Tamandua tetradactyla: one gene and its partners. The protein of the gene in region 1 interacts with the protein of each later gene in a pairwise test. Links are inferred from orthologs where the notes say so. Each region holds a gene or a part of one and is shown on either strand. Other genes may lie near its edges. The genes, in order: CCDC102B, ENKD1, SPG21 and GOPC.

Evidence for each region.
Region 2: the proteins of CCDC102B (region 1) and ENKD1 interact in binary tests that used the Homo sapiens proteins (3 or more experiments, as listed by UniProt). The two-hybrid records come from large-scale screens. The link is inferred for Tamandua tetradactyla from reciprocal best matches to the Homo sapiens genes CCDC102B and ENKD1.
Region 3: the proteins of CCDC102B (region 1) and SPG21 interact in binary tests that used the Homo sapiens proteins (3 or more experiments, as listed by UniProt). The two-hybrid records come from large-scale screens. The link is inferred for Tamandua tetradactyla from reciprocal best matches to the Homo sapiens genes CCDC102B and SPG21.
Region 4: the proteins of CCDC102B (region 1) and GOPC interact in binary tests that used the Homo sapiens proteins (3 or more experiments, as listed by UniProt). The two-hybrid records come from large-scale screens. The link is inferred for Tamandua tetradactyla from reciprocal best matches to the Homo sapiens genes CCDC102B and GOPC.

What each region holds. Positions count from the first base shown.
Region 1 is NC_135344.1:13,477,668-13,484,632, forward strand, and holds the start of CCDC102B (coiled-coil domain-containing protein 102B), read right to left. Parts: upstream 3,005-6,965; 5' UTR 2,746-3,004; coding exon 2,729-2,745; intron 1,187-2,728; exon of another isoform or gene 822-1,186; intron 1-821. UniProt on the Homo sapiens protein: During interphase, forms fibers at the proximal ends of centrioles to maintain centrosome cohesion. During mitosis, dissociates from the centrosome following phosphorylation to allow centrosome separation. Contributes to CROCC/rootletin filament formation.
Region 2 is NC_135342.1:61,397,948-61,405,903, reverse strand, and holds the start of ENKD1 (enkurin domain-containing protein 1), read left to right. Parts: upstream 1-4,939; 5' UTR 4,940-4,947; coding exon of another isoform or gene 4,948-5,052; 5' UTR 5,053-5,340; intron 5,341-5,588; 5' UTR 5,589-5,603; coding exon 5,604-5,688; intron 5,689-5,817; coding exon 5,818-6,012; intron 6,013-6,560; coding exon 6,561-6,733; intron 6,734-7,691; coding exon 7,692-7,817; exon of another isoform or gene 7,818-7,921; coding exon 7,922-7,956. Other genes in the region: C16H16orf86 (uncharacterized protein C16orf86 homolog), read right to left, coding at 3,383-3,819, 3,897-4,114, 4,506-4,672, 4,948-5,052. UniProt on the Homo sapiens protein: Microtubule-binding protein which regulates microtubule organization and stability. Promotes the stability of astral microtubules and facilitates the proper orientation of the mitotic spindle.
Region 3 is NC_135340.1:81,792,701-81,800,474, reverse strand, and holds the start of SPG21 (maspardin), read left to right. Parts: upstream 1-4,764; 5' UTR 4,765-4,974; intron 4,975-5,411; exon of another isoform or gene 5,412-5,493; intron 5,494-7,774. UniProt on the Homo sapiens protein: May play a role as a negative regulatory factor in CD4-dependent T-cell activation.
Region 4 is NC_135331.1:178,461,176-178,469,126, reverse strand, and holds the start of GOPC (Golgi-associated PDZ and coiled-coil motif-containing protein), read left to right. Parts: upstream 1-4,946; 5' UTR 4,947-4,962; coding exon 4,963-5,478; intron 5,479-7,951.

The DNA of each region.
Region 1 (6,965 bases):
AAGGCTAATTAACTTACAGAAGGCGTTTAAATAATAGATAGCAGGTTTTATACATGATGGCATTGAAATCCTTTATATATATATGTATTATATACATTTATATATATATATACACACACACAGATGAACACACAAATACACATGCACACATATATCCCAAAATCCCATGATATAGTAAGGTAAGGCAATATTTTTGTTTCATTAGAAACATTAAGACACATAAAAGAAGAAACTGATTGCTGTTTCTGATGCTAGTCCTATTTTACTTTGAGAAAAACTAAACTAATATGTTTAAGGTTTGGATATGTAAGGGGGAAAAGTGTTAATAGACTATATTATTTTTACTTTGAATACCTCATAATCTGTATTAGGTACTTTGCAAACAGATTTTATATATACTCTTCACCAATTGAAATAAAGCATATATGATACTTTTCATTGATAATAACTTAGTCCCTCCTTAATTTTAGGAGCACATGGTCACTAAGTCTTCATTCGTATCAAGCATGATAAACAATCAAAGGAAGACCAACGTATTCCCAAAGTATTCCCAGTATCATACCCAGTCACTTCATTGATTTCATTTGTGAATAATGTTCAGTGAAAATCAATAATAGACAGTTTTTTGTTGTTGTTGAGACAGCAAAAGAGATCTCCTTTGAATACAACATCTAAGAAAATAAGAGAAAAGCCTAAGGGTTGAATATTGCAGCAGCTAATTTAAATGTAAAAGCCTCTCCTTATTTCCAGTATCAACTTCTCTCTCTTTCCCAAAGAGAGTAGTGGACCCCTTCGGAGAACTGTGACTAGCTCAGACTTACCAAGGGTTGGGATTCACCTTCAGATGGTGGCCTCTGTGCCTCCTCCCTTTTACCCCAGACTCATTGCAAACCAGTCCGCTTCACTTCTGCCAGGTTCACACTCAGGCACCAGAGCTGTAGAGTGAAAGTAGCTCTGCAGCCAGGAAGACATGGTTCTGAGTCCTGGCTCCAAAACTTACTACAGTTGTGGGTTTAAATAAATCATTTAATGTGTCTGAACAGATTCCTTCATGTGTCAGATGAAGATTATGTGTGAAATGTTCAGTTTACTGCACAGTTATAAAACCTGTAGATATGTATACATATGTAAATCAACATGCACATGTATGCAAGTCAACTTGCAGATGGGAAGTATGTTCATAATGATGATGATGATGATAAAAAGGGGAACAGGCACTTCATATCTAAAGACAGTTACGCTGTGTATATTTGAAGACACTCCACAAATTTGCCCCATTCGGGCTACTTAGCACAGTGCCTGCTACTGCAGAAATATATATTTTCTTCTCCAAGCCGGCTGATCATTCACCATCTTTCCCCATTTTATGGAAATTCATGCCTCAAACCCTTTTCTCTAACTACTTCACCAAAGTAGAATATTCTTTTTCCTTCTCATCAGCTATACAAGTTCCACTGATTTTTCAAGACTCACCTCAAGAAGTCAGACCTCTCTTTCATAGCTTCTCAAATTTCTCTAGCCCTAAAATCCACGCTAAAAGGGAATATTTGAAGATTTTGGCCTTATGGCAGCGTCCAATTACCTTGTAATAACAAAATGGGAGAAATGATACTTAAATCAAGATGGTCTGAGATCATTTTTCATGTTTTTAAGAGTTATTGGCATTATCCTTGTCACTCAAAGACTTAGATGAAGACCCTCATAAAGTCACTTGAGGCCAAGTCAATTTGAGTTCTCAAGAAGGTACACCCCCAATCAGGCAATTACTGAATCCAATGTAAACATATAAAGAACGCAATAGAGAGATGATGAAATGATCTGTTATTTCATAAGAAAACTATTTCTTCAAGAGTTCTTGAAAAAATTCAAAAAACAAAGAATTTTTCTAAACACTGTTCAGATTTTAATGGTTTAAAATGATGTTGCAAAATCACATGAAGTTTATACATCTAATATATCACTAGCTTTTCAAGATTCCTTTATATGGGGAAAAAAGTCAAAGTTCAAGATTATTTTAATGTATCTGTGAGAACATTTATTGAAAACAAAAGGATTTATTCACAAAAAATCTAATCAAAGATTTTATCAACACCCCTCTCCCATCAAAAAGATAATCAAAAACATATCCCCATGTTTTTAGAAAAAAAGAAAAACCAATGTTGATATATCTGAAAATAGCCAGCACATCATTGTGTATTCAATGTCATATGCTATTTACATATTTCTAATTGCAATTTTTTTGTCTTAAAAATATTTTCCTTATATTTCCACTTGATAGACTTACCTACTCAACATTCATGTTATAGTTTATTTTTCAAAACCATCAGCAAATACTTCCCAATGATTTCCAGCATTTTTCCCCTTCATTTCTGTAGTTGTTTTCTATATAAATGTCCATTTCCTATAGATGATGTGTAGGATATTATTTTGTATCCCTGTCTCTTCCACATATCCAAGTTATTTATGTATAGAAATCAATATTAGTGCTAAATCTGAAGTATAGCTTTCTGTTAACAATGACAAGAATTCAACATGAGGATAGTAAAATTAAAATAACTCAGTGCATGGAGCATGAACATGAGGATTTACATAACAATTTTACTTTTTTACTGTAAGAATACAGATTACTTCAAACACATTTATTAACCCTTAATCATTTGAAACTAAAAACAAGGTTTTAATAGCAACATATTATATTACTGTCTAAATTTAGAGTTGAAATTCTTACCTGAGTTTGTTTAGCATATAGTTATTTTTTAAAGGCAGGAAATATATAACATGCTGTCAGGATAAATAACACCAACAGTGGGAAAAAAAGGAAAGGTAAGGGATGAGATCAAGTCCACTTTAAAAAGAAATTCCAATCCTTCTGTTTCACAGACCAACAGCAGTTCTGTTCCGCCTCTTATAAGCAACTGTCTTTTTCCTTGCTCAGAAAACAACACATGCTCTACCCCAGCAGGAAAGTATAAAAATTAAATAGAAAACCACAAGGTTATTAAACACTCTTACCCTCTGGGCTTGCTGGGCTGCTCTAACGTCTCAGTGTTACAGACACATGTGTAAACAACAGAATTTCCTGCATCCTTTTCTCATCTGTATAGCTCTGGGGTCCTGGCCAACGAGATTATTTCCTAAACTAAGGCCACTCCACAGAAACTCAAAAAAGGATTCCTATTGGTTATGAAGATTTATCACAACCGATACCTTAACACCCTTTTTTGGAACACAAGCGAACATATCAAATTAAAATCATTTTTAATGTCTCCTAACTAAGCATGGTTATCCAAATTTTTTCATTCAATTCATTTGACACTATGTGCTATGAGTGAAAAAGGAAGAAACGACCCGTACCTTTAATCACAAGTTTGTTTCATGTTTAACAATAGGCAAAACTTGTAATAGAAAAATTAAAATGCCAAAACAAAGAAAAGCTATTAAAGTATCTTATCTGCAAAAGATTTAAAGCAAGATTATACTGCAGATCACAGAAATAATAGAAAATGCAATGTGCCTGATCTAATTTTGTTTTGATTGTCCAGCAAAAAGGAAAAAAGAAACAGCATTTAATAAAATATTCACATATGCAAATCATGGTTCAAAAATTATATGTCAAAACACTTGATCTCAGTCATGTTGGCAGGAATTATGAATTCAAGTCTCTAGGGCCTCCAGTGAGAGCTCTCTGGCTGCTTTCCCTGGGGGAAAAACAGAGTAGTTTTTCCAGTGACATGACTCAGCTGTCAGGAAGTGTACTGATGAAGGGGTGAGGGCAGACCACATAAAAGAAAACTTCCCTGGTTAAAACCAACAATAGAAAATGCTCAAAGAAATAGGGAGAGGGCAGAGGAAAAGAAACCAGTATGCTTCTTTTAAGTAGCAGGAAAACAGCATTGGAAAGACAGAATATATGTCCTCTCCCAATAGTCGTCATTGATTAACAATTCTATCATCTATTTCTTCTGAATAGCTACCTTCCCTCCTGATTTTTCTGATGCCATGGAAAGGATGACCATTCTTGGTATAAAACAATCAGTCCTTTGGAGTTCAGGTTCCCTTTCTCCCATCTTCTCAGCTTTCCTGTATCTTTGAATGCTCCCTCTTGATTGGATTTTCCCAATGAGATTTTTAGACACAGTTAAATCCTTCAGCCAAAAACAAACAAAACAGGCTTCCCTTGATCTCATTTTCACTTCCAGGTCCCATTTTCCTGTCCTTCATGGTCAAATGATTGAAAGAGCGCTCTTCTTATTTAATCTACTTTCAACCCCCATCACTGCACCAAGATGCCTCTTCCTGAAAATACACACGTACACCACACAGGGGGATAAAAAAAAACACTTTTTTTTTATACTTCATAGACTCCTCTCTGTCCTCAGTCCTCTTAGCATCTACACAGCCTCTGATGCTGTTGACCACCAGTCTATAAGAAGACACTCCTTTCTTGGCTTTGATGAAAACTCCCTCTCTTGGCACAATACTCTCTTGGTCTTCCTCTTGACCAGTCTTGCTGTGTCTTCTCACTCTTTAGCGGTGCCCTTTCTCCTTTCATGCCTTGGTGTACATCAATACCTTGTTCTCATCTAAATCCATATCCTCCTCTGGTGATTTTAATTGCCATCTCTTTTTCAGAAGACTCCAAATATCTACAGTTGGACCCAATCCTCTTCAGAGAGTTCCACACTTACATATATCTGCACAGTGTACACTTCTACTTGAAAATACCATAGATATGTCAAAGTGAACAAGTCTAAAGCTGAAGTCACCAATTTTTCCATGGACCTGCTGTGCTTATATCAATACGGCCAAGCCAATCTTACAATTTCTTAAAGAAAACTCCTGAAGTCATCCTTGACTCCTTCTATTCTATGTCCAGTAAGTGTCTTTTGGTTTTACTTCATTAATTTACTCAGTACTTTCTCTTTCCACTGCCATCTACAGTGATTCAGGGCACCAGCATACTCTGCCTGAACCAGTGCAGTGTCTTCATGAGTTGTTTGCCTGCCCCAAACTTGTTCCTCTCTGTTTTTAGTAAAGTTACAGAGTAGTTCCAGTGGTATGAGTCTAGTTCAGTGGCCTATTTCCAGTACTCTTACTGGTCTAAATCTCTGAAGATTTCCTACTTAATTAGTTAGCTAGCTTATTTACATAATAAACTTTATTTTTAAACAGTTTTAGATTTACAGCTTTATCTTCACAAAACATTCTTTGGGTTACCAGAACACTATTCTGATTTATATGTTTCCATCTTACTAACCATTTCAGGTCCTGAACACCATCCTTTATTACTAGCCTCTCTTTTTGATGGTGCAATAGCTCCAAGCGTCTATCATTGGTCCTTCTCTTACGCACATCTTCTCTTCAGGTGATCACATCTGTTTTTGTGGCTTCTTTTGTCATACATACAATTCCCAAATCTACATGACCAGCCCAAAGCAGTTTATCAAGCTTCAGATCTGCATTTCTGTCTCATGAGAGTACTCACTAGGAACCACTTAATTCTCTTTACCATCTCCAAGGACTAAACCCATTATATATTTTCTAAAACCTCTATGTGTCCTGTATTCTCAATATAAAATAATGACACTACCACCCACCCAGTATTTCAAGCTAGAAACCTATCTGTCATTCCTGAATTCCCACTCTTCTTCACTCTTCAAATAACACAACTTTATAGTAAAACTTGAAAGAATTGTCTGATTCTCTCTCTCTCCACTTCATTGCCTCCCATCTCTTCTGAATCCACACTGATCAGGTTTTTGACTCACCATATCAATATTTTACTGGCAAATTTATAAATTACTGATGAGTAAAAAATTGCCTATAAAAGGAAGCATTGTCTCATTTGTAGCTTTCTCAAGTGAAGGCTATTGATTCCCCATGACCTATTTCCCTTTGGTTCAAAAAGCGTAGGAGGGCAACTGCTTATTATTTCTTATTGCCAACTCTCGTTTAAAAACTTTTGTTGATTAATATCATGGGACCAGGTGGTGCAATAGTGGCTCAGTGGCAGAATTCTCACCTGCTATGCCAGAGACTGAGTCCAATTTCCAGAGCCTGCCCATGCTGAAAAATATATAAATATATTTTATATATATATATATATATATATATCATGGGACCCACGGGTATTAGGGAAACAAAGTTATCCAGTGCCTCTATCCTAGTTCAAAGGCTGCACTGACACCACACACAAACACACACACAACCTTATCTTAACATTCCATACTCCACAACAAGCGGTGGGGGCACAGGAAAAAGAGATGAGAGAATTCAGCCTTTGAGGTTTCTTAATTTGTTGAAAAGTTCACGATATCTTAAAGCACTTAGTAGGTACCAAAGAAGAGCTGACACTTTTTTTTTAGTTGATTGCAATTCATTTTATATATTAGGTCCTCCCTGTGGATACTACTTTCCTACCCAGTCTAATTTCTCCCCTTCCTCCCTACAGAATGAATTTTGTTTTTTGTTTGGACAACATTGTCAGAAAAAAAAAAAAAAAAAACCTACACTACCCAGCTCCCCATACAGATATGCTTAGCCACGTGGCACAGCTCTGCCAGTAAACATTAGCTGATATTAGCTGATAAAATGGGCATGTTTGCAAAAACTTTTCTTTCCTGATATGGTTGACACTCCCTCTTCCATTCACCTCCTTCTTCCTTCTTTGAACAAGGATGGGAGGCTGGAGGTAGAGAAGCTATCTTAGCTTTCCTGAATTACTGTCACAGATACCACACAGGGTATTGGCATCAATAATGGGAATTTATTGGCTCATGATTTTGAACCTAGAAGAAGTCCATAATCAAGGTGTCACAAGGCAATGCTTTTTCTACAAAGTCTGCAACATTCTGGTGCTGGCTGCCAGCAAACCTTGGGTCCCTTGGTTTGTGTCCCTGACTTGCATCCCATGACGATGTCTTGTCCTTTCCTCTCGCTTCCGGGTTCCATTGACTTCCAGCTTC
Region 2 (7,956 bases), on another chromosome or scaffold:
CCCTTAAATGGCTCCAGCCTTGTCCTGCAGCACCCCCTCCTGGAGGAAGGCAGCATCACTTCCTGGGACCTATTTCCTAAATTTTAAGGATAGCAGCCAACTCCTGTCAAAGTTATTCCAGGTCGGTGATAATGCAGTAACCCTCTTAGTTATTCCCTCTAACACAGCAACCTGAAGAGAACTTCTGAAGTACCTGTTGCTTATTCTCCAATCCCAAACCAAATCTAGATCTTGTACTAACCCAGACAATGACAGCAGCCTCCCCACCTCCCTGTCCTCTCTCCCTCCCCCATTCTATCCTTCACACCACAGCCCAAGCAACCTTTCCAAAATTCAGATCCCCCTTTGCATACACCCCTTCTCATCACTCCTTGTCACTCCTAGACTGGCCAAACCTGGACTCTTGATGGCCATGCCCTCTCCTTCATCCACGCTTATGCAGCCCTCCTGTATGGAGCTGGCTTCTCCCACACTGGCAGCCTTCATCCCTCACATATCATCTGGAAGGCTACTCAAATCTTCCCCCTCAGGACTCAGCCGGGGGGTTATCTTGACCATTTCTTCTCCTCCCCCAAGCAAAGTGGCAGTCACCCCATCACCTGTGGACCCATAGCCTTGGTTCTTGGCTCTCCTTGTGACATGTGTCTCCTTGAATCATTCTGCCTCAGCATTTTCTCTAGAGTGAGCTTCTAGGATCAGTAGTGGGTAGGGACTTGTTCCTTTCTGTGGCTCACGACACCAACCCCTATTTAGACAAGCTTGCCAGGTAATAGCTTACCAGTAAATGTAGACTGTTTTCTCTTCTATGATCACCTTGGGGTATTTCTTACCTCATCTGTAGGAAGGTCAGGGACTGGAACTTCCTTGTCGGTGCTGGCCTTGTCCATACCACACAGAGAAAGCCAATTCTTGGCCTTCTTGGGATCAGGTCTTAGGAGAGAACCCTCAGGCCCATATGTTCTGCAGGACTCAGGGAAGGACAGGCCTCACTGGATCCCAGGGTGGGGTCTCATACAAAGGCTGCTTCTGCCCAGATACTTCTTTAGCCATAGAGTGAGGAGGTCAAGCTCCATTATCTTGAAGGGCCCTCTACCTCTGGAAAATCCTGAGGATCTGAGCTCAGCCCTGTGGATAAAATTGAGTCTCAGGACATTTTCTCCTGGGAGGGTCAACTCATTGCACTAAGGAAAACTGGGCAGAAAGTAGAATGAATATCCTGACTGCATGGCCTGCCCTTTGGCCTTGCATAGGACCAGTAAGCATCCAAGAAACCCACAAAGGAGGGAGCAGCATGGGATGATGCTAGGAAAGGAGACCATGTACTTTTCCTTCCTCCTTCCTCTACCTGGGCCTGCCTACCTCATGCCTTCTGATGACCTAATCAGGCCATTATTCCAGGGGTGCTACACATGGTTCTGGACTTCGGATAGCCTCAGCCTTTCAGATCCTGATCTGACTCTGCAGCTCCCTCAGCTCCTCATCTTAGTCTCCCAATCTTGCAGCCCTTGTGGGTACCCTCTGCTAGGCAGATGTAATGCAACAATGTTGTTGCCTTTGGGAGTTCACAGTCTAGTCAATGGCACTAGTATGTAGATGTTATAATGCAGAGGCAACACTGGACACTGCCTGGCCATGCAGGAAGTGAGTGCCCTGAGCCAGGTGAAGGGGTGAGGGGCAGGGGAAGCCCTACATGCAGGTAAGAAAAGATGGGGCTGGTCAGGGAATTAGAGTAAGCCACTGAAAAGTTTTGAGGCAACCGGGGCAAAAGAGGCAGATGCTAGAGGGGAGTCATACTATCAGGGGTTCAGGTGCATGTGTAGTAGGATCACTGAATGGACTGATGGGGAAAGTGAGACTTTCTCCAGGAGATGACAGTGTCCTCAACAAGGGTGCTGTCTGTGGGTTCTGAGAGGTTCTCAATCTGAGAAGGTAGATTCTCTGGCCTTAATGCCTGATTGTAAGAGTCAGAGAGCAGGGTTGAGTCTGAGACAACATCCAGGATTTTGGGCTAGAACAACTGTGAAGATGAAATGCAGGAGAAAAGGCAGGTTAGAAAGAGAAGAAATTATTCATTTAATTTGGAGTTCCCTGCATCTAAGGTGTCTGGGGGATACACCAGAAGACCAGGAGGCAGCAGAATGTGAGGGTTCCCAAAATGATCATAATGGCCAGCTCTTTCCAGAGGCTCCAGAAGGCTGGAAGCAGCATTCATTGATGGTTTGGCTGCAGGATTCCTGGAAAGACATTCACATCCACCACCACCCCCTCTTAGTTTCTTGGGCTGCCATAAAAAGTACCACAAACTGGGTGGCTTAAAACAATAGGAATTTATTATCTCATAGTTCCAAAATAAAGTGTAAGCAGGGCCATGCTCCCTCTGAAACCTGTAGACAAGAATCCTTCCTTGCCTTTTCTAGCTTCTGGTGGTTGCTGGCAATCCTTGGTGTTCCTTGGCTTGTAGCTGCATCACTACAGTCTCTGCCTCTGTCTCCACATGGCCATCTTCTGTGTTCTCTCTCTTCTTATAAGGACACCAGTCATAGTGGGTTAGAGGTCTGCCCTACTCCAGTATGACCTTAGCCTGATGTAATTCTATCTGCACTGTTTCCAAATAAGGTCATGTTCATGGGACCAGGACTTGAACAAGTCTCTTGGGGAGACATAATTCACCTCATAAGTCCCTCCCTACCAGGAAAAAGGCACCAACGCCTCTGGCACCAGGGACCACTCCTTGGGCAAGGTCTGGTCCAGCTCTAGTCTTGCAATGTGTGGAAAGTGTTCTAAAGCCAGCTACCGGAGGGGCAGGCAAATGAACTCTGCGACCTCACAGGGGGTGGGAGGAGATCACAAGTGCTGGTCCCCTTAAGGTCAGAACAAATGCAGGCCCCCTCCCTGGAAAACGGGGTAAGGCCAAGCACCTGCTTGCCTTACTGACCCTTACCTTTCTCTGCCCCAAGTTCTCCTTATTTCCCTCCCTCTCTGCAGCCTCCCTCTGCAGCTTCCCTGACCAGCAGATTCATCTGAGGAACTTTTAAATATATGGAACCCAAGCCCCACCCTGCAGATTCTGATTTCAGTTAAGTCTGCATAGCACCCGGAAATCTGTATTTGTTAAGTTCCCAAGTGATCCAGGTGACCAGTAAGGCTTCAGAGCATACACTGGGGAATCCTCTCACCCTTCTTCCCAGCCTCTTTCCCTCTTCAGTTGTCTTATTTGGGGAATCACAAAGTCTGAGAAAACGAAAAATTTTTATTGTCAGCGAACCCAAGGTCCAGCAAGTGTGGTCAGGAGCCGAATTCCCCTCCCCCGATTCTTCCTGAGGGCCTAGGCCCACAGGCTGCTGCTCTTGGGGGAGTGGCAGCCACCAGTGGGGTGGGATAGTCACTTGTACTGAGGAGATAGTGGGGGCACAAGTGGAGCAGCACAAACACTCAGCATCTTGTCGATGTCCACCTGGGTCGATTTATCCACCTCAGCCTTCAGCTGGCTGCAGGACTTCAAGCTGGGTACACACCCAGACTCCTCTCCAGCCTCCTCTGCCAGGAGAGCCAGGGCATGGGTGGGGGCCACTAATGTACTGGGGCAGGGCAAAGCAAGGCCTGAGCTGAGCTCACCTGCCACGGGCAGCAAGGCCTGCAGTTGCTCCACTCCTGCCTCTTCAGGGACTATGGCCAACTCTGAGTCAGGCTCCACCTCAGCCTCCGTCTCCCTGTCCCCCTCCCCTCCCTGGTTCAGCTCAGGATTGTAATAATTGATGTACTGGTACAGGGGCCGCAGACGCTGGGCTTTTCCTGCAAGGACCCGGGGCAGGGAAGAGGCTGGAGCGCCAAGGTGTGCCATGTCAGGCAACCTAGTAAGCAGGGGTAAAAGGGGAGGCCCAGAGGCTGCCACTCACGCTCCAGCCTCAAGGTCTCTGAAGGTGCAGACACTGTGCTGGCTGCAGCTGGGTGTGCTGGAGCCCCCAGACTCTTGCGCTTCTTGACTTTTTTATGCTGTTTGGCAGATGGTGAGAGTTCGCTCTGGCTGCCCTCTGGCTCCTCCCTCTGCAGCAGTGGTCCAGGTGGCATCTCAGCTTCACCTCTAGGATGGGCATTGTGACTAGGTCCTGGAAGGCTGGGGTACCAGAGCCAGGGACAGGAGGCCTGAGGTGGCATCTCCACCCGCTGGCTCCCATGCCCAGGATCTAGGGATTGCCCTCCTTACCCACTACCCAGGATCAGATAACTCTCCTTTCCTGGTCAGTGAGGCCCCAGGCTGGACCAGGGCTCAGAGCTCATGTGAACTCAGTCCCCTCCAAGGCCTTGAGGCTCCTCCTCTTTTGGTGCTTCCTACACCAGGGCTCTTGAGGGACAGAAGGAGTGGGGGTGATGATGGTGGTGGTGGCAAGAGGACAAGTTTCAGGGGGACAAGGGGACTCTGCAGGAATGCAGGCTTTAGGAATCCTAGTGGAGTGTCAGTCCCATCCCCCAGCCCTGAAGCCCCTTCTCTCTCAAAGCCCCCTCACTTGACTGGCTTCCTCTTGGGACTCTGACCAGGCCTCACAAGAGAGGCCATAGGCCTGTGGCCTTTCTCCTCCAGGGTGTCCTCTGGCTTCAACCTCTCCTCTGACTTGAGTCGCTTTTCCTGGAGCTCTGGCTCTGAGGCTGATTGCACTGGACACTTGTCTTCACCCTAGGGCCAAAAAGCCTCATTGACTGGTACCAGACACTGGTCTCCTGTCACTGTACACTAGATGTGGCACATAGGTAATTGGTCACTCGACTAGACAAAGGATACAGGAATCAGACTTTAGATATCAGACACTCTATAAAAGGCACCGATGTGCCCCTTTCCACCAGTGTAGCGGGTCTTGGAAGTTACAGGGCCTGGATCCCCAAAAGTTTGACCCTCTATGCCCCAGGGGGCCTTGGCCTAAGTATTTGAAGTCTACAAGGACCGATGGTCACCTCAGAGCTCTTAGCACGGTGACCCGGCGCCTGGGTGAGTGGTGCGGGCCCCACGGCAGTTCCCTCCTGGGTCCCCAGCCGCCTCTCCGCCCCTGCTGAGGCCATGACTGCGTGGGGTCAGCACATCCTCGATGGCGGCTTACGGGGACGGACCCTATTGGTCGGTTTGGCGGACCCCGCGCTGACCCGAGAGAAGGGCCTGGAGGCGAGTGCCGCACTGGAAAAGGCGACTGGCAGCCGTTCTACGCCTACCTTCAACTGGAACTGCAACTACAAGCCCCAGAAGGCTTTGCGCCAGGAGCACTCACCCTTAACCTAAGGGACGGAAACCACTGTTGCTAGGCAACAGCAACTTCCCTGGTCGCCGCGACAGCGGGCTACAGAACTGCTCTGGTGAGACCCCGGCTTGGGTGTTGTGGGGGAGGGGCCGCGAACAGGGCAGGAAAGTGGGCTCCGATCGGATGTCGCGGAGGTGGCGAGCGTGGGCCAGGACTGAGGAGCGGGGCGCGGGACGAGAAGGGGGCCGGGAATGGGGTGCACAGCTGGGGTCAGCGTCCGGGTCGGTGGACGAGGCGGGGGACTAGAGAGGGGATCCAGGGGCCGGGAATACGCAGCCGGGAGGCCTCGGTGCACCTTTGCAGGGCAACGGCGGCGGCATGTGCGAGGGCCTGTCCCGCATTTCGGGGCCCATCCCCCCGGATCCTACGCTCTGCCCAGATTACTACCGTCGGCCCGCCTCTGGTGAGTCGGGAGCCTGGCCGCGGCAGGTTGGGCCCGGGGCCGGCGCCTGCGCCTGCGCCTGCGCCTGCGCCAGCTCCGAGACTGAGCCCGGCGCTCCTTCCCTCCCGGGCCCTTCCCTCTTCCCCGCAGCCCAAGGGCGCCTGGAGGGAAATACACTGAAGCTGGACCTGCTGACTTCGGATCCCGACCTGGATGCCGCCCTTCTCCGCGGCCCCTGTATCGGTCCCGGAGCTCGAAAGATACAGGAGCCTGGCAGGCGTGGTGCGGGGGACGTGTTGCTGCAACTCGGGGGCATCTCTCTGGGCTCAGGGGCCCCTTTCAAGAGTAGGTCCCGGGAAGGGGGAAGAAGGGACAGCCAGACGAGTCGAATCGGAGGTCTAAAGCGGAATGAAAAGCGCCCACTCTTTCCCCGACCTAGGACAGGCTTCTGCCCCTCTTGAGTCAGTTTCCCCAACCATAAAAGCAAGAAAACAATCCACTACCTCTTCGCAGGAAAGGACTGAAGGAGGTAGTCCCGGGGAAGCCCTAGCTCAGCTTCAAGCATTCATGCATTAATGCAGTGCTGTTTTTTGAGTGCCTACTGTGGGCCAGAATTTACAGGTGCTAGAAAAACAGGTGAAGGCAAGCAGGATCCATCATGATCAAGGTGGGAGACGAAACAAAGAGATAAGTATGTACAAGATGATTGATGGTATTACACAAAAACGTAAAACGTAGTCAAGGATGGAAGAGTATTACTGTGTAAAGACAGGAACTTAGGTGGAAAGGTCAGGTAGTTCTTTCTGTGGGAGGGGTGGGCCTGTGTGTGAATGGGAGAAAGCTGGATTGCATGGGGGGTATGTAGGGCAGGGCCTACAGCATCTCTTCCCCAGGGAAGGACACCAAAGACCATGAGAAGGAGAACCTGAGGCGGATCAGGGAGATCCAGAGGCGCTTCCGCGAGCAGGAACGCAGCCGCGAGCAAGGCCAGCCCAGGCCCCTGAAAGCTCTGTGGCACTCACCCAAGTACGACAAGGTGGAGTCCCGGGTCAAGGCCCAGCTACAGGTACCTGCCTGGGGAGTGAGAAATAATATCAAGCTTGCCCATCAGCATACAATTATATCCTGATCTGGGTTATGGGGAGGGAAGAAATCACAGGGAACTTAAGTGACAGAGGACTGAGAGATAACTGGCCCTGCTACGGGGTAGTACTGAGGACCTTCTCAGAAGTGGTAATGGCTGGACTGATCCTAAGGGACAAGGAGAAATTAGGCAAGAGGAGAATGGAAGAGAACATTTCATAGAGGGAAAACCTCCTAGGTAGACATCCTGAGGCCAAAAGTCGAGTGGACAATGAGGTTGCTGGGTGCAATTAATACTGAGGGAAGAAGAGCACAAGGTAGGCTAAGAAGTCAGCAGGACCGACATCGTAAAGGGCTACATATGTCACCTTCAACCTTTATTTCTGAGGGTAGCAGGAAGGGTAGGGGTGTGGTGGTAGGATTCTGTCTTTCCTTGAACAGGGACTTCAGAAGGAAGAGCAGTGTTGAGAGAAAAGAAAACAAGGTCACATGTGGATGTGCCAAAGCTGAAGTGTTTGTGGGACTGCTGGGGGACCCACAGGAAGCAGGTGGCTATTCAATTCTGGATCTCGGAAGTGAGACCCAGGCACTCCAGAGGATCATATTGAGGACGATAAGACCAAGGAAGTGACCCTTGGGTTTGAGGGCATGGAGGTCAGCTGTCAGTGAATTTGAGTGGCCAGAGCCAGGAAGCTTGGCTAAGAAGGGGAGAGAAAGTAATAGCTAGAGCAGGATTGAGACAAAGAGGGGTGGCTTGTTGTTTTCTTAAAAATATGAGAGACTCACACAGGTTTAAACATTGAAGAGAAGTGTTTCTGTAAGAGGGATGCCAATAGGGACTGGGATAGAGTTCCTGAGAAGCAAGAAAGATGGGCATGGTCTTATGGCTTGAGATCTTGATATCAGTCTGACTGATCCCCCTTTTGTGCCCTGCCCTCCAGGAGCCTGGCCCTGCCTCTGGGATACAGTCAGCCCATTTCCTGCGGGCACACTCCCGCTGTGGCCCTGGGCTCCCACCACCCCGTGTCCCCACTTTTCCCCTAACCCCAGCAGGTCCCAATGCCAAGGTGAGAAGACGCATGGGGGCTGGGAACATGTTGGGCAGAGGTTTGGGGGCGCTCTAGGCACAACACAGTGTGCCTGCCCCCTCCATGTTTGCCATGTCCTGCAGGGGCCAGGCCCAGGTGTGGACTTCATTAGCCACAA
Region 3 (7,774 bases), on another chromosome or scaffold:
GCAGATTACTTAAACTTTTAAAATTCTGATTTCTTAGTTTAAAAATATGCCTTATGGGAGAGAAATAGACATGGAAAATGCACAAGGCAATGCCTGCACATAAACACTCAATAAATTGTCAACAGTCTGATACTGCTGTAGTCTCTGCTTTGGACCTGCAACAATATTTTCTCCTCTGGATGGCAGCAAGAGCCTTGGTCTAACAGAAGGAAAAATGATTTTAGAACAGTAAAGGATCTATTATTTAGTAGCCCAAAATTTCATTATAGCAATGATAAAATGGGGTCTGGGAACAGTTAGCTAGTAACACCAGTCTAAGAACCCAGAAACTACAGTAGATTGTTGGTTTTTTTGTTCTGGGTTTTTTTTGTTTGTTTGTTTGTTTTGTATGCTGTATGGCATGTTCACATTTCATTATTTTGCCAAATGAGTATCCCATTATTGCAGCCCCATTTGTTGAATTATTGTTTGTTTTTTGGGAAGTACATGGACTGGGAATTGAACCTGGGTCTCCTTCATGGCAGGTGAGAATTCTTCCACTGAACTACCCTTGCCCCCCCCCCCCCGTTCTATTTTTTAAAAAGATTTTACTTTTGGTTTGGTTTGGGGGATAAAAGATGTTTCTGAGTGTAAAATTTAGTTTTCAAGAATGGCTCTTGAAAGGATGTTTATTGCTTTTATACTTTGTATTGAAGGCAGTTCAAAACTATTTCTCTTTATACTATCTTTAGAGGCAGAGTCTTTGAGTCAGACAGATCTAATGTGAACCATGATTCTCCCCTCTGATCATAAGCCTAAGCTGTTTACTTAACTTCTTTTGAGTCTGCTTCCTTATCCACAAAATGAAAGTCATACCTATTATGCAAGGATTGTCATGAGGAACAGAAATAATATATGTAATGTGTCTAGCACAGTGCCTGGAACACAGCAGATTCTTAATAATACTATTAGCTAATACTTTTATTGAGTACTGGCCACATGTCTAAGACATGACATGAACAGTCGTTATTTTATTTTTACAGTTACCCTGCGATAGTAGAATTTCCTCATTTTTTCAGATGAGATAACTTAGGTACAAAAAAGGTTAAATAAATACCTAGTAAGTGATGGAGCTAGAACTGACCCCCTGGTAGTCTGACCATTCTACTCCCCTATCTGTATTTGGAAATATTTTCATCCTTGATCAGGGAGTTTAATGTCTTAGGGTTTGATATTCAGAAACTGAGAAATGAGAACACGTTAGTTAATTGAGTACCCATTATACAGGTTCTGTGCTAGGTGGTTTCAAAGAGATTTTTCTTATTTTAGTCACTATTTAATCACTGTCTTTTTTTACCTGAAGAATTAATAATACGTTGTAGAAACCTGCCGAAAGACTGCTGCTTTTTGTGGTAAAACAGTGCACTCTTGTTTTCCAGGATTCTTTTTTGCTGTGCTTCCTCCAAAAGGCAAACTAAAGCATTAGCATTTAGGAAAGGATCCTTAATGAGATACTGAGTTGGCAGATGCTACAAAAGCTGTACCTTTGCTTAGGAACTTTTTATTTTTAGAAGTTGCTTAGGAAATTTCATTTTAAAAGGTTAATAATGGGGCGGGCAGTGGTGGCTCAGTGGCAGAGTTCTCCCTTGCCATGCCAGAGACCCGGGTTCAATTCCCAGTACCTGCCCATGAAAAAAAAAAGTTGTTACAAAGGATAGTGTCTTTGACCAATTCTTGGGAAAAAGTAATCCATAAAGCTTTAAAAAAAAAAAAAAGAGAGAAAGGTCGATAATGAACAAACATTAACATCGCCAAGAAGTTCAAATACTGTTTCCATTAAATAGTCATTTTTGTGTGCAGGTTAATTCTTTAAAGTTTTATTGGAAGCAGGAGAGGGGAGATTATCAGAGAAGGGAAGCTTTGAGGGCCAGCCATTGTAAATATTCAATAAGTCTCCTAGATTTATAGACTCTAAAATTTTATAATTAGAAAGAACTTGGAAATCATATGGGTCAACCTTGGCCTCATTTTACAGATAAGGAAACCAGATGTAGAAAGAGGAAAGAAGAGAACTCAGGTTTGTTAACTCTTGCATCAGAACTAAATCAGTAATTATGATAACTATATATAACTTCTGTTTGATAGGCTCTTCAGTTAGCAAGCTATAGAATAACCATGTCAGCATCTTTCTTGGGTGGTTCCAGATATATCTGTGTATGATCCCTATAATACGGTGCGATATGCATTTGACCCAGACTTGGTCTGGCCATGAAGAAGCAGTATTTCATTTCATGGGTCCCGGCATAACTGGTATATAACATATAGTTAATTGTACCCTGAGAAGATTTTACAAGATATTTTAAGAACTGGGTTAGTCTGAAAAATCAGTGTTTTGTTTCTCTTTCACTTTTTCACGCATCTGTAGTTCCTGGAGGTAAAATAGGATTATTCATTCTATTGGGTTGAGTAAAGGGAGGCATTCTTAGAGGGGGAAGAATATACACACAAAAGTCTATAGAGGTTTGAGACCAAATGAAGTGTTTGGGGATGTTCAAAGAGTTGTTGTGATGAGATCACATGATCCCATCGATAGCCCAGTGGAGCTTGAAGTTTAGCTGAAGGCAGTGGGGAGCAATTGAAGGATTGAAAGCAGGGGAGTCACACAAAAATATAGGTACTTTTAATTTTTTTAATCACACAATATATGAATCATTCTTACATAGATTCAAATACTAAATATAAAGCCAAAGTGCTCCTTTACCACTCCTTCCATACCAAAATCCTCCTCAGAGGTAACCACTATTCTATTAAATGTGTATTCTTCCCAACCTTTTAAAAAATGCATTTACTTATGTGTATGTGTGCACAGAGTATATCTAGTATTGTTTTGTAGGTGAGATTTAAAACTGTTTTCAAGGGATCAGTTAAGAGGCTTGGGCAGTTCTGAGCCAGCTGGCCATCTATTTATTTTGCCTGGTGTTCACAGCATATTTCATGAACATTCCAGTTGTTCAGTGTGAGTCTAGCACAGGGATTGGTGCTGAGGGAACCATCTGGCAGACCCCAAACACAACAGCTGCAAACCCTCACAGCCTGGTCCACAAGGTCTGCTTCACTGTGTGCCGTGGGTCAAAAGTTTGCTGTCCGCAGTTGTGCGTTAATAGGACAGCTGGAATTCACAGATATTAAATGTTCCTTGTTCATATTAGCAAATGGACAATCTGCTTGCCATGTGTTCTAGAACAACTGAGGACCCAAACATGAGCATAGGGTCATTTTCTATAGGAAACATTAAAAAAAACCCCATTATTTGTTAGTTATTACCCACCTAACAGAATAAGGATGTGTTTGTATATTATATAAAGAGACAGAGGCATATGTATGGGCATATTCATAGCTGAGTTCTCATTAGGGCAATTATTAAAGTAAGGTCTGGGGATGGGGGATCTAAGGAATACAGTTTTAGGACTACATGTGGATAGATTTATTTTTTCACTCATTCATTCATTCAGTATACATTTAGTAACTTTTATGGGCCAGACCATGTGTTAAGCTCCCAGCCCAGCTGGGGAGATACACCAATAACTAATGTAATGAGTGCCTGCAATGGGTTTTCCATATATCCAGTGACTTGCCAGTTTTTCCATTCACTAAAATACTCCCACATTTTGAGAAAAAACCTCCAAGGTTAAAAATCCTTCTTGGAAACATGCCCCATACACCTATATGGTGTTTATAATAAAGGATTACTTCCTGTGACTGGCTTGCAATTCCGAAAGAGATGATTTGTAGAAAACCAGGAGAGATTATCCTGCTCTTGGGAAATTCCTGGGGTTTGTCCAAGTTCTAGACTGGAACTAAAGCTTCCTGAGCGGGAGGGCAGAGATCATGACTCAGCATGGAATTTAGGACTCTCCCCTGACCTAAATCCCATGAACACTTGTCTGGATCAGGTCAAAGTTCGAAGGTCCATTTAAATAGGAGACACGCTCTCCCTAAAACAGATTAGGGAGAAGCACTTTTAACAGGATCTTGTTGCACTATCTCTAAATAACTTCAAACGGGTAGATTTACATGCTACTTAATCTTCATATTATTTCAGTGCAAATCTGCAAATATTTTACTGAAAAGGGCTGTTTCGGCCTCTGCAACCTCTTGTTTAAAAAGTGATCATAAATGAATTCATATTCTCTGCTCTTAAAACCGCAGTGAAGAAGGTGAGGGAGGCTCTGTGGAACTAAATTCCCGGAAATTCCCCGGGCTGCCAGATTAGGGCTGGAAGGGAAGGGAGCGTTACAGTAGAAGGTTATGGAGGGTGTCTGTGATTGTAACAAGGAAAGAAAAAAAAAAAAAAAGAACTAGGCAAGAAGAGAGTATACAAAGCCCTGGTCACCAAAACCTGGAGCCCCGGGGATCCCCTCAAATCTTCACACAGAGGAGAGGGAACAGTAGGCATCTTCTTCCTCCAGGTGTGCGCGAACGAAATGCAGAAGCAGGTTCCAGGAGGCCGGACACCCCCTTCTCCCTCTCTCACAACTTCCTCCTTGGTGCTCACGTCTCAAAAGCTAGACTCAAAGGCAATCAGATTTCCTCTCCGCGCCGACCACCACCGCTAATCCTACGGCAGGTTCCCGCACGCACCCGCGGAACCGAGAACTCCGGGAGTTCAGACTGAGCTCAAGCCCCGCCTATCGGGGGCCCCGTCGCCATGGAGACCCCCGAGCCCCCGCCCCTTCCCCGTGACGTATCCCTCCCCCGCCGCTGAACCCGGAAGCGCCAGGCGCGCGCCCGCTACGGGGACAGTCGGGAGGGCTGCGCGCCCCGCCCCTCGGAGGCCTGCCCTCCTGCACGCCCCCGCCGCCCGCCGCCGCTTCTAGTCCTGGGTGTCCCGGCTGCGGGCCCGGACTCCGGGCCAGCCGCTCCTCCAGCTCACTCGGGTATTGTAGCGAAGAGCCGCTTTGGGGAGGAAAAGGGTCGTGGGGGCGGACACGGCAGGTGAGGGGTGGGCAAGGCCCTGGGAGGTGGTGGTATGGGTCTCTATTGAGTGTGAGATTGTGGGTGTATGTAAGTGTGCGCGCTTGCCTTGGTCGGTATGATTGTGAATGTAGCCCCGAGTGGGCCGGTCCATGTGATCGTGCACGTGATAGCACTTCCGTGTGTGTGTTTGTGTGGGTGTGTATGTATGTGTGTATGTGTATATGTGTGTGTGTCTGCCTTTCTCTGAGGCCAAGCCAGGGCTCAGAAGGGTCGTAGGTGGGCCTGTGACCCTGCCTTTGTGTGGCTGTCACCGGTGGAACCGGGTGAGGTTGGCTGGTGTTATGGGTCGCCTGGAGGGGTTTGCACAGGGCATCTTCCTGCAAACCCATCCTGGAGCTACACATCTGCAGCCCAGGAACAGTTTTTTTTTTTTTTTTTAGTAAACTTTTAAGAACTCTGAGCAGACGCCAGTTATTTTGGAGATTCTATCTCAGCCTGAAAGTACAAATGTCTTTGTCATTGCTGAGTACCACCCAGGTGTGACGCTTATGAATGGGGGATGAGAAGAATAGCAGGGCTAAAATGTCACTTTTCTTCTTTTTGTTTTTCTGGGGAGTTGTTTTCACAAGTTCTGTATTTATGCTGCTGCTTTGTCTCCACCTACAATGGTCCAGCTCTTATTGGTACAAAAATTCAAGAGACTTAGGAGTAACTTAATAGCTGTGTCTAAATTCTCAAAGCTTTTACACCAAGATAGAGCACAAGATGAGGTGTCACAGAGGAGATGCCAAGTAGGTAGCTTTCCCCCCCACGAGGTATAGAAGATAATGAAATAGGTTCCTGAAGAAAAGAGAGACTAATCTTACTGGAAGAGATCTTAAAACAAGGATAGCGGTGTACTGATGTGGCTAAGCATGGAGGCTTACACTAAAAAGCTAATGCATTGCCTAGAAACTCTTGGGTTCTATTATTTTGTTATTGCTGGTGTTAATAATACAGATTATCCATATGTAAATCAACTAAAGAGTGCAATAAAGGTTGGAAGCCTCTCACTAGATAAGCTGGTTCTGAGACTTCTTAAACACTTGTGAGGGCAATTTGATTGCCTGCAAACTGGAAGGTTCTGTTGAGATTCTGAGGGATAGGTGCGTGTACTGTCTGGCGCACAGTCACAACCTGGCAGTTTTGTTGTGGAACAGCCCAAGGACTGGAGAGGAGTGCATTTCCATTGCACAACCGGAGAAGGGGTTTCCTATCACAAAATTGAGGCTAATCTAGGTGGCCTTTTCCCCACCAGCACGAACAGGTGCTTTTGTTTTTCTGAAGAGTTGAATCTTGAGAGGTCAACTCAGAGTTGAACCCAGCGATCCTCATTCTTTCTTGGTTAATACTGACCAGTTCAATGACAATCTCACTTAACCTTCTTTGCCATCTACAGAATGTTCCTCTTGTGACTTGGAAAAGTATACGCCTTTGGAGTGGATGAAAGAGATCTGGGAGAACAACTTTCCTTTTCATACTGCTCCCAGCTGCTTTTCTTTGCAGCAGTGAGCTTTTTTCGCCTTTAGACATCAGTTGGTCAGCTGCAACATTTGGTATCTGTTTAACCTTTCATGTACTGCCAGACTAGGACAAGTGCTAGAATCACTTGTCTCTACAAAAATTCAGTCACAGTTGGGTGGAATCTCTCCATCCTGCAAGATTAGTTATAAAATATTAGAACATTGACTTGGCTGGGAATAACCCTGAGGACTATTGGTAAGGAGCATCTTCCTACTTTTGCTGTGGGGAAGAAGCGCGTGTCTGAGTTCGTGAGACTGTGCATCGTGTGTGTGTGTCTTTGTATTGTAGTTTGATTGTACATAGCAAATGAGTCCCAAACTATGATTAACTTATTTTATCTCAGTTTGGAGGATTTAGAAGCAAACTTTCTGCCTTTAATTAGCTAAGATTTGCTTTTTTAACTGTTTAGTAAATCTTATTGGCTAAGCATGTTTTTTATGTTCCCTCCTGTAGAATAGAGTAATTGTTTCTAGTAATGCTGTACTAGGAAATGTCTTCATTATAAAGTATTTGTGTGATATGGGAGCATTTCACATCTGTGTCAGGGTTAAAAATATTCCAGGACTATCTATTTATGTGTTAGTTCTTTTCAATTAAAAAACAATAGCCAGCTTAGAGAGAGGCTAGAGTTTGTTCAGATGGTTTAAATGTTTTAACATGTTAATAATATTGAGCAAGATTTTTAAATGGCTATGCAAAGAGGGATTTTATTTCATTATGACTAATAACTGCATTTATGCTCCCTTATTTTTTTATTTTTTTATTTCTTGGTATGGGCAGGCACCGGGAATCGAATTTGCTCCCTGATTTTTAGCAAAGTACTTCAGAGCAACTTACAATTTTAATGAGTTTTTCTGAAAGTACCCTGTTAGCCTTTAGAGACAAGAGCATTATTATTACAGTGTATAGGTTGTAGGTCAAGTGTAGTTTAGGAATGTCTAGATTCACCATCTTCCAGGGGGTTGTTTAGTAATCCTCCAAGGTTAGAGGTAACAGTAGAGACCCCAAGGGCCCTGTGTTCTTTAGAGTATAGATCTGGAAGGCCAAGAAAGATGCGTTCCATTGAGTTTAGAGTCCTGTGCTCCTTGCCAGTCCTGAGAACACCCTCTAAAATGACAGTTCTGGGTCAGCCCATGAGTTAAGTTCTAGAGTCTGGAATTCCTCTTAGCCCTGCAGGGGAAGCCAGGCTTGCCCCAGGGGCAGGGGGCAGCGTGCAAAGCCAGTAGTGATTGCTTCCAGTCCTTCCAGTTGATGC
Region 4 (7,951 bases), on another chromosome or scaffold:
TTATATGAAATTTTACATATTCTCCAAAGATAATTTTTTTACACAGAGGTGTGATCATAAGGCGCCTTAAAATAGTCCATTAGTATTTTATGTGTTTTTAACAACAACAACAACAAAAAACTGTCTTACCCTGAACTTTTCAGAAAAAAAAACCCTTATTTTTATGGAACAAAGAAACATATTTACCTTTTCCTCTTTATTATGTACTGTCCATCACAGGAGTACAGAAACATTATTTATCAGGAATCCCTTAAAAACAGGAGAAAATAAAATCAAGGGGATAATACAGGGAAAAATCAAGGAAATAATATGGGTAAAAGATAGTACATTTCATTTTCATCATTTTATAACTAATAACAAAGAACATATAACATTATTTGATAATTGCAACAGATACATATATATTTCATGTCTTTTTAGTCGGTTATATCAGGAAGAGAGCCAATGGGAGAAAAGAGGGCAGAGATAAACAGGGGGACACAGAAAGAACTGCAGAGACACACAGAGGCCCAGAAAAGGAAAAATGGAGACTGTGCTGGTTTGAAAGGATTCTGTGCCCTAGAAAAGCCATTTTTTAATCCTGATCATTTTGAGGAGGCAGCTGTTTCTTTCAATCCCTATTCAGCACTGTAGACTGGAAATTTGATGAGATTATCTCCATGGACATGTGACGCGCCCAATTGTGGGTATTAGCCTTTGATTAGAGGGAGATGTGACTCCATTTATTCCAGGTGGGTTTTCAATAGTTTACTGGAATCCTTTAAAAGAGGAAACATTTTGGAGAGAGCCATGAGAACCACAGAGCCCAGGCAGCCAGAGAACTTTGGAGATGAAGAAGTAATATAGCCCTGGGGGAGCTTCATGAAACAAGAAACCTGGAGAGAAAGTTAGCAGATGTCACCATGTGCCCTTCCAGGTGAGAGAGAAACCCTAACGTCACCTGCCTTCTTGAAACAAGGTATCTTTCCCTGATGTCCTAATTTGGACATTTTATAGACTTGCTTAATTGGGACATCTTCATGGCCTTAGAACTGTAAACTTGCAACTTAATAAATTCCCCTTTTAAAAGCCACTCCGTTTCTGGTATATTGCATTCTGGCAGCTAGCAAACTAGAACAGAGACCTTAAAAGATACTCCCACAAAGGAGAGAGGCTCAGACTTGGGATGTTTAGACACGTAAAGACCACATAAAATTGGTTATGTAATATATGTATTTACGATTCTTTCACTTGCTATTTGCCAGGTCCTCGGTAGGGTGGTGCTTTGTATTCCTTAAATCATTTAATCCTCACATCAACCCTGTAAGAGACATACCATTACATTCCTTGTTTTATAGATAAGGAAACAGATGCTAGAAGTTAGGCAATATCCTTAAATTCACACTCCCAGGAAGTGGCTATGTTAGCTATATAACCAGCCTGATGTGGACTTGGCTGCTTACCTGCAACTATAACTTCTCCGAGGACTAGTTGCCCCATTTGTAAAATGTAAATAATGCTACATTTCCCAAAGTGTTGTTAAGGAGATAATGAATGTAAATTGCCTCATAAAAATTTTCCTATATGATAGGCCATCATTGAATATTAATTCTTGACTCTTGGATTAATTTTCCTTTCTCCTGGTTACTGGAAATTAAATGAAATGTGTGAAGCTTAGTACAGGGTCTGGACACATTAGAGTTCAATAAATGGCAGTTTCCCTCCGTCTCCACTCCTGGGTGGATCTTATATGTTTCTTTATTCATTCCTGTGCCTTTGCATTTCATGGTACTCTATAAATGTTTGAACCACAGCTAATGACCTGTATCTACCAAATGAATTTTTAACATTTTCTTTCTTCCCCCAGTTTCCTTAGTTCCCACCCTGTTTATTCCTAGTAATACTTTGTGGCAAAACTCTGGAGTTATAAGTTCCTTAAAACAAGTCTGTACATTTAAGTTATATTAGAATTTCATAATTTCAAAAAAATCACATAAGCATTATACATGAGACAGTTCGTGGAGGTTTCTGCCAATCTAATTAGTAGTATGATGACTTCATTATATTTGGAAAATAAATCCCACAAGTATTGAGCTTATATACGATTCCAGAGTAGGTCAAGATAAGGCAATGATGCAGCTAGAGCACACTGACAACAGATGGCAGCACTTGAACGTTAAAACCTACTTTTTCACGTTATAGTTTGGCTGCAATATGCAGAATTATAAAATCCCAATGTGGGCAGATAACAAGTTTACATAAAGGGCAGATAACAAGTAGTCACATACTACCAAGACGGCAAACACGTAGACGTGGTAATGAGAAAGGACAATAAGGAATGAAAATATCCTGAGGGACAGGGGTGTGACTTATTGGAACTTTAAACATTGTAAATGAAATAGGACCAGGTTCTGAAATCCTGAAAAAGGGGTAATCACCAACAATTAGGGCACTGGACACATGTACACTTTTGATGCTGTCTGGCCATACTCACATAGTACAGCAAAAAGTTGAATGATTTATTCTTAAAAGAAATGAAATGTATTTTGTGTAGGTCCATAAGTAATGTTGGCAGTATTTTTGTAATTTCTTCTTAGATGTTAATAGATTTGTAATTGGCTTATAATTGGGAAGAGATTATTTTCCTTTTGGACTGATTTGTCATTTTGTTATTCTGGGGACAAAGAAATGGATTTTCTTAATCCCCCTATTCCCCACAGTTGATGGCAAAGGCTCTGGAGAAAAAGGCACCTAGACTGAGATCTCAGTTCAATTACTGTTTGTCTTAGACTCACTGTAACTCAGCTAGAAAAGTGACAAAATGATCAAACATGTAAACAAATAGTACAAATGCCTACCACATAATGAGAACTCAATAACTGATAGCTACTATCATTAGTATTGTGACTCCATGTATATGCCCTTTGTCCATTTTGAAATTATTTACTTCAAATTCCTGAAAATCCATTGCTAACTACATTATCTGTAGAGAAGTTGGCCAGGACATGTTGTAGTGATGTCTTTGTGAGTACTGCAGATGAAAATACTGAAATAATGGAAAATAATTTTGGGAGTAAGATGCAAATTTTAGTTTTATATTATTCATTGCCTATGAAAACCTGTATGAAGTTGTGCATTTAAGCTCAGGGCAAGGATTTCCAGGTTAGTTCTGCTTAGCTAAGTTTGCTAGAGCCACAGGACTCTCTTCCCCCAGTTTCCTCAGTTCCCACTTTGTTTATTCCTAGTAATACTTTGTGGCAAAACTCTGTAGTTATAAGTTCCTTAAAACAAGTCTGCACATTTAAGTTATATTAGAATTTCACAATTTCAAAAAAATCACATAAGCATGATTCATGAGACAGTTCATGGAGGTTTCTGCCAATCTAATTAGTAGTATGACGACTTCATTATATCTGGAAAATAAATCCCACAAGTATTGAGCTTATATACAATTCCAGAGTAGGTCAAGATAAGGCAATGATGTAGCTAGATACTTATCAGCCTGGCCTGTAGTATACCCAGAGAGCAAACTACAGCTGTGATTTTTTTTTGCTCCGTCTTGGTTTTGGTGCGAGTCACACAGTGTGGGTTTTGCATGATGATTGATTGGAACTATCTGTCCCGTCAACAGATCAGGGACAAGTCTGTAGTTAGCCAGAAAAATATTCTCCTACATAATGCAGTAGAGACAGTTCCTACAAGTCTGTTCAAATCAGACTGGTTTCTCTTTCTCTGTCCAGGGCAGGGCGACTCTTGAAATGAAAGGGGATGAGAAAGCAGTTGCTAAACAGTTGCAAAAGTACTGCAAAAATCATATTAAAGTTGTAACTGTGAAGATTAGTAGCCTCACAAGTCTATGACCTCTGCTCGAGTGAGGGTCATATGTGTTCCCAATGCCTCCACAGGGTTTGGCATTCAATATATTTATGAATATATGAATATTCCTTAAGAACAAGAAGTAACACTAAATATAGTACTCTAATGCCTTTGATTGCTTTGTTCCCATTCAATTTAATATATGACAGTAAAAGTACTGCGATTGATTTTCATATATATATATTTTATATATATAACACAAATCACACATTTTGTAACCCAAAATATGGTTTCAAAAAGAAATCACCAGGTTGAGTTAAAACGGTAAGTGGAAAAAAGCCATTCCTTATGGTCATGCACGTCAATTGCTTCGTTTTACTGAAATGCTCTGTGCAAGAATATTACCAGTTTTTTAAATGATAAAACGTGATTCCTTCAACAACGTACACTTTTTAAAATAGTTGCTTTAGAAATGTGTGACCTGTGGTGTAAAAATAAAAGCTAACGCCATGCGTCAAGCACTGGTGCTAAGCGTTTTACCTTACTACTGAGTGAAATAAATTTTGGAAACAGAGACTTTGAGGTTAAAAAATACAACCACGGTGGTGCAACTAGGATGTGGCAGGGTGTAACATTTGAACTCAGGCCTGCCTGTCTCTTACACAGGAGATACAAAGGTCTCTTTATTCAGCAACACCTACTCAGCCACTCTCCGCCAACCCGGCATTAGGCAGTGCCCACACAGTATTTAGGGCCTATTTAACCAAAACGCGCCAATGTGTCCGTCCACCCCACCCACCAAACCTAAGCAGGAACTGGAGAGGAAAAGGGGAAACGTGGCCATTGCGCATGCTCACACCGCCATTCCTCGCTCTCCTTTTCCCGCCCCCGGACGCCACTTTCCCGGACGATTTTAGAACGGCTTTTGTCCACTGTGAAATCAAACCGGTGGGGCCGTTCCTTCCTACGACGTGGATACGCTTCTCTTCCTCGGGCCTTTCCAGCTTGGAAGCACACACCGCGCGCCTACTACTCGCGGACCCAAGCTGGAGTTTGCCAGTCCTCAAGATGGCCGCTGACAGGCCGGGCAGAGGCCTTTCATAGGCCAACGTCGCCTCCTAGCCCCGCCCACCTCGTCCTTCCCGGCCGCCGGGCTCTTGGCTACGCATGCGCAGCGGCGGCGGGCAGGGAGGTGGGACGGGTCGTGTCTTCCGTGTGCCACGGTCGCCGCCTCAGCCTCCTAGGTCTTGCCCCTCGGCGGCTGCATTGCCGGCTTTGGCCCCGCGAGGGGAAGGAGTGACCCCACAGAGCGTGCGTGCGCGGGGGTCTCCGCAGTCCCAGCAGTTCTCCTCGCGCAGGAGTCAGCAGCAGGCGGGGGAGGCCCTCGACGGCGCCATGTCGACGGGCGGCCCGTGCCCGGCGGGTGCCGGTGGGGGCCCGGGGGGCGCCTCCTGCGCCGTGGGGGTCTCCCCCGGCGGGGTATCCATGTTCCGATGGCTCGAGGTGTTGGAGAAGGAGTTCGACAAGGCCTTCGTCGATGTGGATCTGCTCCTGGGCGAGATCGATCCGGACCAGGCGGACATCACTTATGAGGGGCGACAGAAGATGACCAGCCTGAGCTCTTGCTTTGCGCAGCTCTGCCACAAAGCCCAGACTGTGTCCCAAATCAACCACAAGCTGGAGGTGAGCTGCGGGCGCTGGCGGGGGCGGCCTTCACCCCAGGCTGCCCCGGTGGCGTCAGATCTCATTTAGACGCACCAGTGAAAGGACCCCAGAAAACTGCCCACTGGGACAACTGGGCTTCGATGTGTCGGTGTGTGGAGGAAAGGAGGGCGGTAAGGTAGGGGAAAATGAGGGGTGTAAACCTACGTGTCGGTCACCTATCTTATCTTGTACCTTAATGAGCAGGAAACGGGAACTAATTACACCAGCCACCCTTGTACGTTTTATATTAACAACCTAAGACTTAAGCCCAAAGACTGTTAGAACAGCTTTTGACATTTGAGGTTTGCTTCTCTATTTTCCCATTGATGAGCCCAGGTTTATATATCCACCACCCAAATAGAGCCCTAATTACTTTTATTTTAACTATTCCAGATCAGCATCAATGGTCGCACACGGACATACTAGTTCCTGCATGCATGGACTATTTAGGGAGAATTTGATCAAAGCTCTTAGGAAAGTTTAGTGGCATAAATACGATGGTATCATTGCCTTTCTCGGTTTACATCCACAGTTGGTCCTTAAATTGCAGGCAGATATCTCCTGAGCTCCCAGCGGTCATTCAGATGACTTCTAACAGTGAGGTTTATACGTTTGAATTTTACTGTATTTCCCAAAGTCTGCATTTGTTTTTGAGAGTGAGTGAACAATGATCATTCGGTGAACTCTCTAAACTAGAGAGTGAATATGGGTGGAACGGTGGTGGTTACAAAAAAAAAAAGCCTACCAGATGCAGAAAATTTTCAGGCATTATTACAATAATTAGAAATCATGACAGGTTGACTTTATATAAAGAGCATTTTCTAATTAAGCAATTTAAATGAGAGAATTGGTCTTTCATTTTTAATTACATAATAATGGGATAATCAGTGATGTGCAAAACTTTTTAAACATTAGCTTTCCAAGAAATCATCATTGCTATCAGTTGTAATAGTTGAGAGTGCCCATTAGATCCAAAGCAATATGAATATCATATATACATCTTCTCTTTGCTTAGTGGTCAGCATTCTCTTTCTCTCAGTCATTTTTAAAACTGGCATAATTAACCTTTGCTTAGTGTTGATTTGCATATTCATGATTTTCTGGCTCTTTGCTGAATGACTGTTAATTTCTTGCATCCTTTTTTGGGAAGATTGGAATGCATGTGAAAGTAATCACTTCTTATTCTAGGTAAATGAAATGTCTTGATTTTTTGATTAGTAGTGATTTCTAGAAGATAGTTTTTCAAGTAGTGAAATTCTGTTTGAGGGTTTTTAGAACTAGTACTTCAGCCTTAAATAACATAGCAAGAGTAGCTTTTGCTGTATTAGAACTTTTCATATTATTTTTACAAGGATCTACTGAAGATAAACAGCTTATAAAAAAATTAAACAATGTCTAATTTTTAAAAACGATTTAAGGAAACTTTTAACAGTGATATTTTGATGCCAGATTTAAAGTTAATTTTGGAGAAGGGCTCATTCTGTCAGTAGGAGGTGGTGCTTAATTTTTTTTATCTTTAAACATTTTAAATGAGTATTCAAAGCTGTAATACGTTAATGCATGCTCTTTTTTTCTTTCAGAATTTATAATTGCATATGCTGACTCCTTGTCCTGGCTAAGTGGGTAGTATTATTTCTCAAAAAAAAGAAATGTTAGCATATCACAGATGAGCCTGTTTTTTCAACGTGCTTGAAACCCTTGGGGTATAGGTCTTAGAAAATAGGAAGAGAAGAGATTTAACTTGATTTGTTCTTTTTTTTTGGTTTATTTTCTGGTTACAGTTGACTTACCTGTCTGTTGTGTTGATCTTTCCAAATTTAGCAATTTTCCCCTTTCATAGTACAATCCAGGTATTTCTGAGGAGAGAGTTTCATGGTCACAGTGCCTTTCAAAGTAGATCTGCTGCTGTAACCATCTGCAGAATTTCAGGGGTTGCTGCATATAGTGTTATCAATCTTCTGAGGTCTTGATACTTAGAAAAGATTCCCATAGCTTCTTGCCCTATTTTATTTCTAGTAGACAATTGAATTTAGTTCTGTTGATTTAAGTATGAGGACATTAAGACAGTATTTGAGGCCACTTATGGTTTGATAAAATAAATGTGTGCCAGAGTTCAGTAATTTTATAAATTAATTCCTTAAACCATATTACTGCAATATAATATTTTTATATAATCAAAACACAGATACAGTCAGTGTGGGTGATTTATAATATATTTAAATTGGTCTTGAGTATCCTTCCAGATTGCCCCTTCTACTGCCCTGTCATTGTGTCTCTGTAAAAACTGAGCTTAATATAAATATTTAAACAGTTTTACTGCCAAAAAAAAAAGTTACGATTCAAAGTTATATAAAAATGACATCCTTGCCTCTGCTTCTTGCCGTAAGTTATGCTTGGGGAAAAGGGTAGGAGAAGGCAGAGAATTTAGGATATTTTGAGGTGGTGCCATTTC